Linked DNA regions of Coturnix japonica. The protein of the gene in region 1 purifies or fractionates together with the protein of each later gene. This does not show direct contact. Links are inferred from orthologs where the notes say so. Each region holds a gene or a part of one and is shown in the gene's direction. Other genes may lie near its edges.

What was found.
Region 2: the proteins of APAF1 (region 1) and cytochrome c purify together in Homo sapiens (affinity purification with western blotting; 3 studies listed by BioGRID and IntAct, with this or other methods). This does not show direct contact. The link is inferred for Coturnix japonica from reciprocal best matches to the Homo sapiens genes APAF1 and CYCS.

Annotation. Positions count from the first base shown.
Region 1 is NC_029516.1:42,521,393-42,525,210, forward strand, and holds part of APAF1 (apoptotic protease-activating factor 1), read left to right. Parts: intron 1-211; coding exon of another isoform or gene 212-277; exon of another isoform or gene 278-303; intron 304-1,641; coding exon 1,642-1,767; intron 1,768-2,605; coding exon 2,606-2,737; intron 2,738-3,818. UniProt on the Homo sapiens protein: Oligomeric Apaf-1 mediates the cytochrome c-dependent autocatalytic activation of pro-caspase-9 (Apaf-3), leading to the activation of caspase-3 and apoptosis. This activation requires ATP. Isoform 6 is less effective in inducing apoptosis.
Region 2 is NC_029517.1:29,070,543-29,074,964, reverse strand, and holds cytochrome c, read left to right. Parts: upstream 1-1,492; 5' UTR 1,493-1,769; intron 1,770-2,212; 5' UTR 2,213-2,220; coding exon 2,221-2,389; intron 2,390-2,767; coding exon 2,768-2,916; 3' UTR 2,917-3,980; downstream 3,981-4,422. UniProt on the Homo sapiens protein: Electron carrier protein. The oxidized form of the cytochrome c heme group can accept an electron from the heme group of the cytochrome c1 subunit of cytochrome reductase.

The DNA of each region.
Region 1 (3,818 bases):
ACATGTTTGTTAGTTCTTTACAATTTCCATGGGGTTTTAATGGATGTTTGGCGCTATGTTTGTTAATTTTGTCATGCAAAATAGAGAAATCTGGGCAGAAAAATGAGTCCTGAAAGCTGAGGGCAGCGGTAGACTGGAAAAAGGTATTCAGTTGTTAGGAAGTGAATATGGGGAGAGAGAGAGGAAGTGACTAATACAAATTTGCCAGCAGTCTGCCTGGAGGGAAGCCAGACAGCTCTCAGGAAAACTAGCAATCAGCCAGCCACTAACCTGGTAAAGTATCCATATTCCAGACAGCCAAAGGTAAGGGTAAAGAACAAGTTTTCTGCAAGCCTTTGGTATTGTTTTGGATGCTTGCTAAAGTAAAAGTATTAGTGGTCCTTAGTTGCTGTTCATTTGCCTGTGTAATGTGGTGGTGCTTACTACTTTCTTTTATTTGCTGGCTTTTACACTGTTATGGTCATGGCATCCACCCACTTAAGGAGATGCTTGGTGGCTGTGCTGAAGTTATTGTGCTGGGCTTCTGTACTTCATGGCTTCATTATTGGGACTGCTGATTCATTGTTTTTCTCTTGACTTTCTATCAAAAAAAGGGATTTTATTTTATTTTATTTATTTTATTTTATTTTTTTATTTTTTCCCCAGAGCCTACGCTAGAAGAGATAATACAAAAATTAACAATCATTTTTCATTGTTGAACTTTGATCTTAATCTTGTTTTTCCTAACAGTGACATTAAAATAAAACTAATGCCTTCAGATTTTAGACTAACCCAGAAGCAGAAATGACTGCCAAATTAAGAGCAGATATTCTGCAGAATTTACAGTAGATGTAGATTTCCTTTTGCTTTGTCGCTTTTATTTGAACAAATACCAACTATTTCATTATCACTGTTAATCCCATTTAATGAAAGAAGATCGGAAAAATAGGGATTTCACGACTGTAGCATCTTGAATGTTGCTGCAAAGAGCAAATTGTGATTTGTTAGAACAGCTGAAGATTGTTTACCCTTGAGCTGGAAAAGGTACCTTTCACCATCATTAAGATAAGCCCCAGAATTTAAGGAAAGTGGTTAATGTGCAGTGCTTCTTCCTTGCCACCCTTTCCTGCCTTGTAACCAGCTCAAAAGAGACTCCTAGCACCTTTACTTAATTATCAATTGCTGCTAAAATCCTTTATCCAACAGAAGGATATCGTATATATCAATCTGGAATTTGTACTTCTAATAACAGTGCAGATATTGTTAATAAGCTATTGTGTGGTGAAGTTATTAAAGTAGAGTAAGAAAGTACATGTATTTAGTCTTAAGGAGTACAAAAGTCTTATGTGGTAGAAGGCCTAGCTTTTGGCTCAAAGGTTATACATAGTCATTAATAAAACACATAATGCATACGGATTTTTTTTAAATTAGTTTTCACTATTTCTTTCCATAATAATTTCTATCATCTCTATAGATTTGAAGTTCAAATTAAATGTTTTCATATTACTTTCCTTGAAATTATACGTGCTTTCAGAATGCAAGCAGTTTTATGAAGAGTTTAGCTAAGGGAGCTCTTTGAGAGAAAGCAATCCTTTATTTGTGTAGCATGTTTTGAAGTTGTATGCCAGCTAAAAGATTTCATTCCTCATTGTATTTTTTCAGGTGTTTAAAGCAGAAAGTGGAGAGAGATTGCTGGAGATAAGTGCTCATGATGATGAAATACTTTGCTGCACTTTTTCTGCAGATGATAAATACGTAGCAACTTGTTCAGCTGATAAAAAGGTGAAGGTAAGTAAATGGAGAAGAGACTTTTTTGCTTATTTGTTTTGCATCATCATAATTCAGATTTCAGTTTTAGCCAACTCAGGCAGAGCAGATTCTTAGGACAGAAGGTTTTTAGTAACTGTTTTAAACCTTATGTGGATAATTCACTACTTTAAAAACAAAAGATCTCATACTTGTTATGTTAAGCATCATTTACTTATGTTAACAACATGCATACACAATTACAACTTATTTTACTTGTACTATCAGATGTTTCTTTTTATGTAAAACACAATACATGAGTCCAGTCCTGTGTGTAACATAAAATGAAGGTATCCATAAATGTTTTTCTTATATAGTGCTTTCTGTTGTATATTATTTTTCATTTTATTTTTAATTCTTCAGAACTGCACCAAAAATCTTGATGATATTCTAATCTTTCTCAGATCTAAACTATGATCCTCCTCATCCATTTGATATTTAAATTGTTCAAAATTATCTGTGAAATTTTCTATAATTAATAGTAGGCTGAAACTGAATTTTGACAAGAGCAAGTTGGTTTTATTTGGTTGCAGACACCTTGTTATAAGAACCTTTGGCTGTAGATGCCAGGTTCCAGTTCTTGTTTTGAAAAATGTGTATATCTACATCTCTGCTATTTTAGTGAAAACAATCTAAAATCACAGCTGTGTGTTAATAAATGTAACTACATGTGTTTTCCCTTTCTCTTCAAGCATTTTTATGTGTTATTAAGAGCATTTTTAGGGCTTTATTTGTATTCCAACGTGATTTAGAAATTTCATTTTTTATTAAGTACATTGAATTTATTTAAAGCTGATTTTTGTCCTTCAACTCTGTTTAGATCTGGAATTCAAGAACAGGCGAGTGTTTGTACGTATATGAAGAACACACAGAGCAGGTCAATTGCTGCCAGTTCAATAACAGAAGGGGTCAGTATCTTTTAGCCACCTGCTCAGATGACACTTACATCAAAGTAAGTTGAAAAGGCTGTGATAAGCAGTATGGGAATAATCAAAACAGAGTAATTACTGTTGTAGAAATATGCTTCAAACTCTGTAAATTAAGGTTTATAATGAGTCCAGTGGAAGAGAGACAGAAACTGATCAAGAGTACTGACAGGGCAGAACGGAAGAGGAATATTTATACTTGCGATGAAAAGTCAGCATATTTCCTATTAGCTGAGCACAAAGGTGAAGACTTCTAGAGGATGGGAATAGGAATGGGAGAGCCTGGGAATGGAATACCTGATTAAAAACCGTAAAGAAATAAAAACAAACAAACAACAGCCACAAACAATACAAAAATAGGTGCCAAATGATGAAATGAATAAATAAATAACCTAATGGAAGGGGAGCAGATATATTTTCTTATTAAATTGATTTGACATAATAAAGAAATGAAAGTAGGTGCCAACAGAATAACAGTAAATCAAAGCAAAAGATTTGTCAGGTCAGCAATCTGGCAGTACTCAGACTATGAGGCAGTATGTCTACTCAGAGCAGAAGCCATGTAAGTGAAGTGTCTGCGGAAGGAGAGGAAGTGGAAGAACAAAGGAAGACCTGGCTGTGGGTAAGGGTGGAATTTCACAGCACAAGTATGTCCAGTAATAGAAAAGAACAGTAAAATAAAAATCAGAGAGGCTGGATTTCTATTTATTTTTTTCTTTTTTTTAAAGAGAACACTGTTCAGGTAACTGTTCCTGCTTTGAATTCTCCCTGAGCAGACAAGTGAAAGGTTTGGTAGCAAAAAGGCAGTATGTGCTGTAGGCCTAGAAAGTGCGTGTGTCTGTGTGTGGCCTCTAACGCACAAATTGTTCTTTTATCTTTATTAGAGAGGACACAGTAATCCAACACTGAGTTAAGAGATTTCATTTTAGTTACTGTGTACAAGCTACGTAATTCTGAACTTTGAGACTGAAAGGAAGGAAAGAGGCTAGACAAAGTTTAATCCTCACTCTGAAGAAGCCTTTGGTAACTTTGTGCTATTTGAGGTTCTTGCATTCACTTTACAGAAAGTGTTATATAATAGTCATGGGAATCATTTTCATGCAAACT
Region 2 (4,422 bases), on another chromosome or scaffold:
AGTAACAAATAAAGTACTTCAATACAACCGGTCTATTCTTAGTGCTGTTTGTGACTGGGATAGAGTTTGCTTTCTTCATAGTGGCTTGTATGGTGCTATGCTTTGGATATGAGAACTGTGTTGATAATGTGCCAATGTTTTAGCTGTTTCTGTGTAGACAGAATCAAGGACACTTCTGCAAGCAAGCAAGCTGGCGGTGTGTAAGTTGATAGGAGGGGGCAGAGCCAGCACAGCTAACCCTGACAGACCAAGGGGATATTCCATATCATGTGTCATCATATTCAGCAATAACAATGTGGGGGAAAAGGAGGAAAGGGGTATTTTCAGAGTTACGTTGGGTCTTCCCAAGAACCCAATATGTGTGATGAAGTTCTGCTTTCACAGAAACGGCTGAAAATCTGCCTGTCGGTGGAAAACAGTGAATTAATTCCTTATTTTTCTTTGCTTGCTTATGCAGCTTTTGCTTGACCTATTAAACAGTATTTGCCTCAAGCCATAAGTATTTTTCACTTTTGCCTTCCTGATTCTCTTCCCCACCTCTCTGTGGAGAGTGAGTGAGCAGCTGGGTTGCTTGCCTGTCTACCAGGGTTAAATCACACTTTAATCTTTTCAATAATGGCAAAATATACATTGAGTGCAGTCCAGATATTCAGTCTAATAACACATTTTTCAATTGAAAAAGGTATATTTGTCAAAAAAAAAAGGAGAAGATATGTATCACAAAACTGAGAAGTAAACCATGATCTCCTGAGTTCCAGCCTAGTCCCAAGATGGCGATCTTTGCTCTTTCATCTGCTGTGTAACTCTGAAGAGAACTGGCTGGATGTTTTGTTATATTTCCTCTAATACTTTGATATATATTTGTTCTATTTTCCCTTCTTTCAGAACGAAATTACACTGCAATAAGCCTGACTGCAAAATCATCATCATTCCAGTCTGAAATGGTCTGAAGTAATAAAAAGATGAAGTTGTTTGAGGTACAACCACTGCGAATAACTGAAAGCTTAAAACACAGCTGTTCCAAGCAAACCACATCCAGGTCAACGTCCCAATTAATGTTATTACATTAAAGTTATTACATCTAGAAAAGTCACAGTGCACTGAAAATATCCTTCCATATATAATATATATAATATCTGGGACTCTGGTTTCAGACTGGAGTTCAGCACTGGCACAAGTCCAGGTGATCTCTTCATTCAGCTGCCCTGGAGATCCGTGAATGTCCCCACACGTCATAAGCAGAGCAGTTTTATTGTGGTAACTTTACTTCTGGTAGCGGTGTTTAACGTTAACACCTCACAGCGGGGAGACACTGAATACCCCGATGACGTCACGGACACAGCCCAGACCCCGCCCCCCGCTGAGGACAGAGCGTGACCCTCACCTCCCCTTCCGTTGTGCGCATGCGCCGCAGACCCTCCCGCGTTCCCCTTTACGTAGCGCAGTTCCGCCACACGACTTCCGCCGGAAGTAGTAGGACAGGGAGCCCGGCGCCCGCCTTTGCAACCTACCCTGCTAGTCACCGACGTCGTGACGTAAGCATTGACGGACAGATGTTACAACCAATCAAAATTCCAGCAGGCTGCATTTGATTGGCTACTGAGCCACAGAGGGCGGGTGGAGTACCGGCGCCGTTTGGTTGCAGCGACACCGGGTTACATAGGGCGGAGTCCGGCGTGTCCTTGGGCACAGCAGCCGGACGGCGCGGGGCGGTCGGAGCTGCAGTCAGCTGTGTGGGTGCGGTGTGAGCGGAGCGGCCGGCTGGGCAGGTACAGGCGGGCGGGGTGTGCGGGTGATCAGGGCCTGATTTCCAAGCGGCGCTGTCTGGGTCTGGAGCCACTACTTGGCCCGGCCGTTAGGCGGGATTGGGGCGATAAGGGACGGGGCAGTGCGGCTCTGACCCTGCTCACACTGCGGCCTTGAGGATCCCTCAGCTGGCAGCGGAAGGTCACGGCGGGGCCTGCTCTGCGGGAATTAGATGAGGCGTGTTTCTTGTTCTTCAGGCATAAAGCGTGGCACCTTAATAGTGTAATGGTTCTATGCAAATCTTCAAACCCTAGAGCTATAACTCGTGGCTAGAAGGCACTCAGAGTTCACAGATTGGTTTACAAAACTGTAGCTACAGCCCATCGCTGTGAACCTTTTTAAAGCTTCTGTTGAATAGCTGACCTTGATATTGTGATACTGACCTCTGTATGTGTTCTTGGTCTAGTACCGACGATGGGAGATATTGAGAAGGGCAAGAAGATTTTTGTCCAGAAATGTTCCCAGTGCCATACGGTTGAAAAAGGAGGCAAACACAAGACTGGACCCAACCTTCACGGCCTGTTTGGACGCAAAACAGGGCAAGCTGAGGGTTTCTCTTACACAGATGCCAATAAGAACAAAGGTAAATGTAAAGCAGCTCCTCCTGAGCTACTGGTGGTTCTTGGGGATAGTCAGAAGTACTGAAACCTGCAGAAAGCAAAAATAATATTCAGGCTGGACATTAGGAAGTATTACTTCTCGGAAAGGGTAGTCAGGCACTGGAATGCACTGCCCAGGGAGGTGGTGGAGTTACCAGCCATGGGAGTATTCAAGAAACGCTTGGATGTGGCACTGAGGAATATGATTTAGCCAGGAAGTATTGGTAATGGTTGGACTAGATGATCTTCTAGGTCTTTTCCAATCTTGATAATTCTGTGATTCTGTAATATGAGTGAGCAGGAAAAAAATATATATATTCATTTCATTTTGAAGTCACTGCTTGTCTATTTCTTCTTGCCAGGTATCACTTGGGGTGAGGACACCCTGATGGAGTATTTGGAAAACCCAAAGAAGTACATCCCAGGAACAAAGATGATTTTTGCGGGTATCAAGAAGAAGTCTGAGAGAGTAGATTTAATAGCGTATCTCAAAGATGCCACTAAAAAGTAAAAGTTATCTGCTGCCTTATTTATTTCACGTAGGAGTTGGCAATGGAAATGTCTGTGACAAGATTGGTTTTTAAACTTTCTATTTTTACATATACCATGTCTAACCTTAAAATCAGTTTTACCCATCAGATGATGTTGCTCATGGTGGGTCACTGAAGAACACACTTGGCAGCCGTTAACTTATGAAAACTATGTAACTGGGTTGATTTCAATGAGTATAATGTTCAGTTGTTCTTAATCATGAAATTAAAAACAAAAAAAAAATATATCCTGCCTCTTTATTGTTTAACACACAAAAAATGTATCAAACAAGTGTCAAAAGTGTTAATAGCTTTGACAACCCTACTCTTCAGAATGAAAAAGCAGAGTGGGTCTTGGCATCTTTCACTATAAGTCTTCTGCTGTGTTACACTAAAGATTTAAAAGTAAAGAAAGACTTAACAATATTTTTCTAAACTTGATCAGTTTTAGGTGTTGTGGTGCGTATTAATCTATCTAAAGCTTGGGGTAAGAATGCATCTCTCAAGTGCTGTTTGTTCAATGACACTTGTGCCCAGATCCTTTGATCTAGGAGAAACATGTTACTTGATTTATCTCGACTTTCACAGTTGCATGCACCAGTAGACTAGAATTCTCCAGCATCATCTTTAAGTCTTCTTGAATGTTATTGAAACTCTCTGTTCAGTACATCTCCGGAGGGCAAACGTTTGTAGTATAATGAATGAAAGAAGAAACACTTCTTCTGGAAAGGTAACTACTAAAAGCCAAGATGAGAGCTGATAAATCTTATTTCAGCAGTAGCATTCACCTAAAACCTACTGTTACACACAGCTGCTGATGGAGACGCACAGCAATGAATGCACTGGTAGACTAATGGGAAACAGTCTTCTTCTGTGCCTGGCTATAGCGTGTGTCATTAACAGTGTTGAGTAATATTTTAGTGTTTTAATTGTTTAGTGTTTTTTTCATGCTAAGCAAACTGTTCAGATGAATGTATTTACTGTGTATCAACAGTAAGGCACAACTTAGAGTGATCAATCTTGTACATTAAAAGAATTCAAAGTCCTGTTGGCTGTATGTGTCTGAAACCGAAATGGTGGGGTCATATGGGCTTTATGTCACTACAGGATGAGCAAAAACTCAGCGTGAAAAAAGTAAGTGCTAATAGAGATTGTGTGAAAGGTACTTGGAAGTGTGGCAGAGTTAGGAAGTATTTTGAACTAGAAGCAGCAAAGCTAGGCTGGGTAGGCAGAATATTGAAATGGAAGCATGTAAAGTTGTCACTTATTGAGGTTAGTATGAATGCAAGTACCCGGGTGGTACTTCTTTGTTGGTTTCTTTGTTAGGTTTTCGATTTGTTTGTGGAAGGGGATGTAACTAGGGAAGGAATTAAGATTGACTGTAAAAATCAATGTTTTGTTCTTTGGTTTCAAGTTTTACTGAACAGAAAGATTATGAACTAGCAAGTGTAGCATTTTCAGTCTAAAAACGTGGTATTTCAGTAATC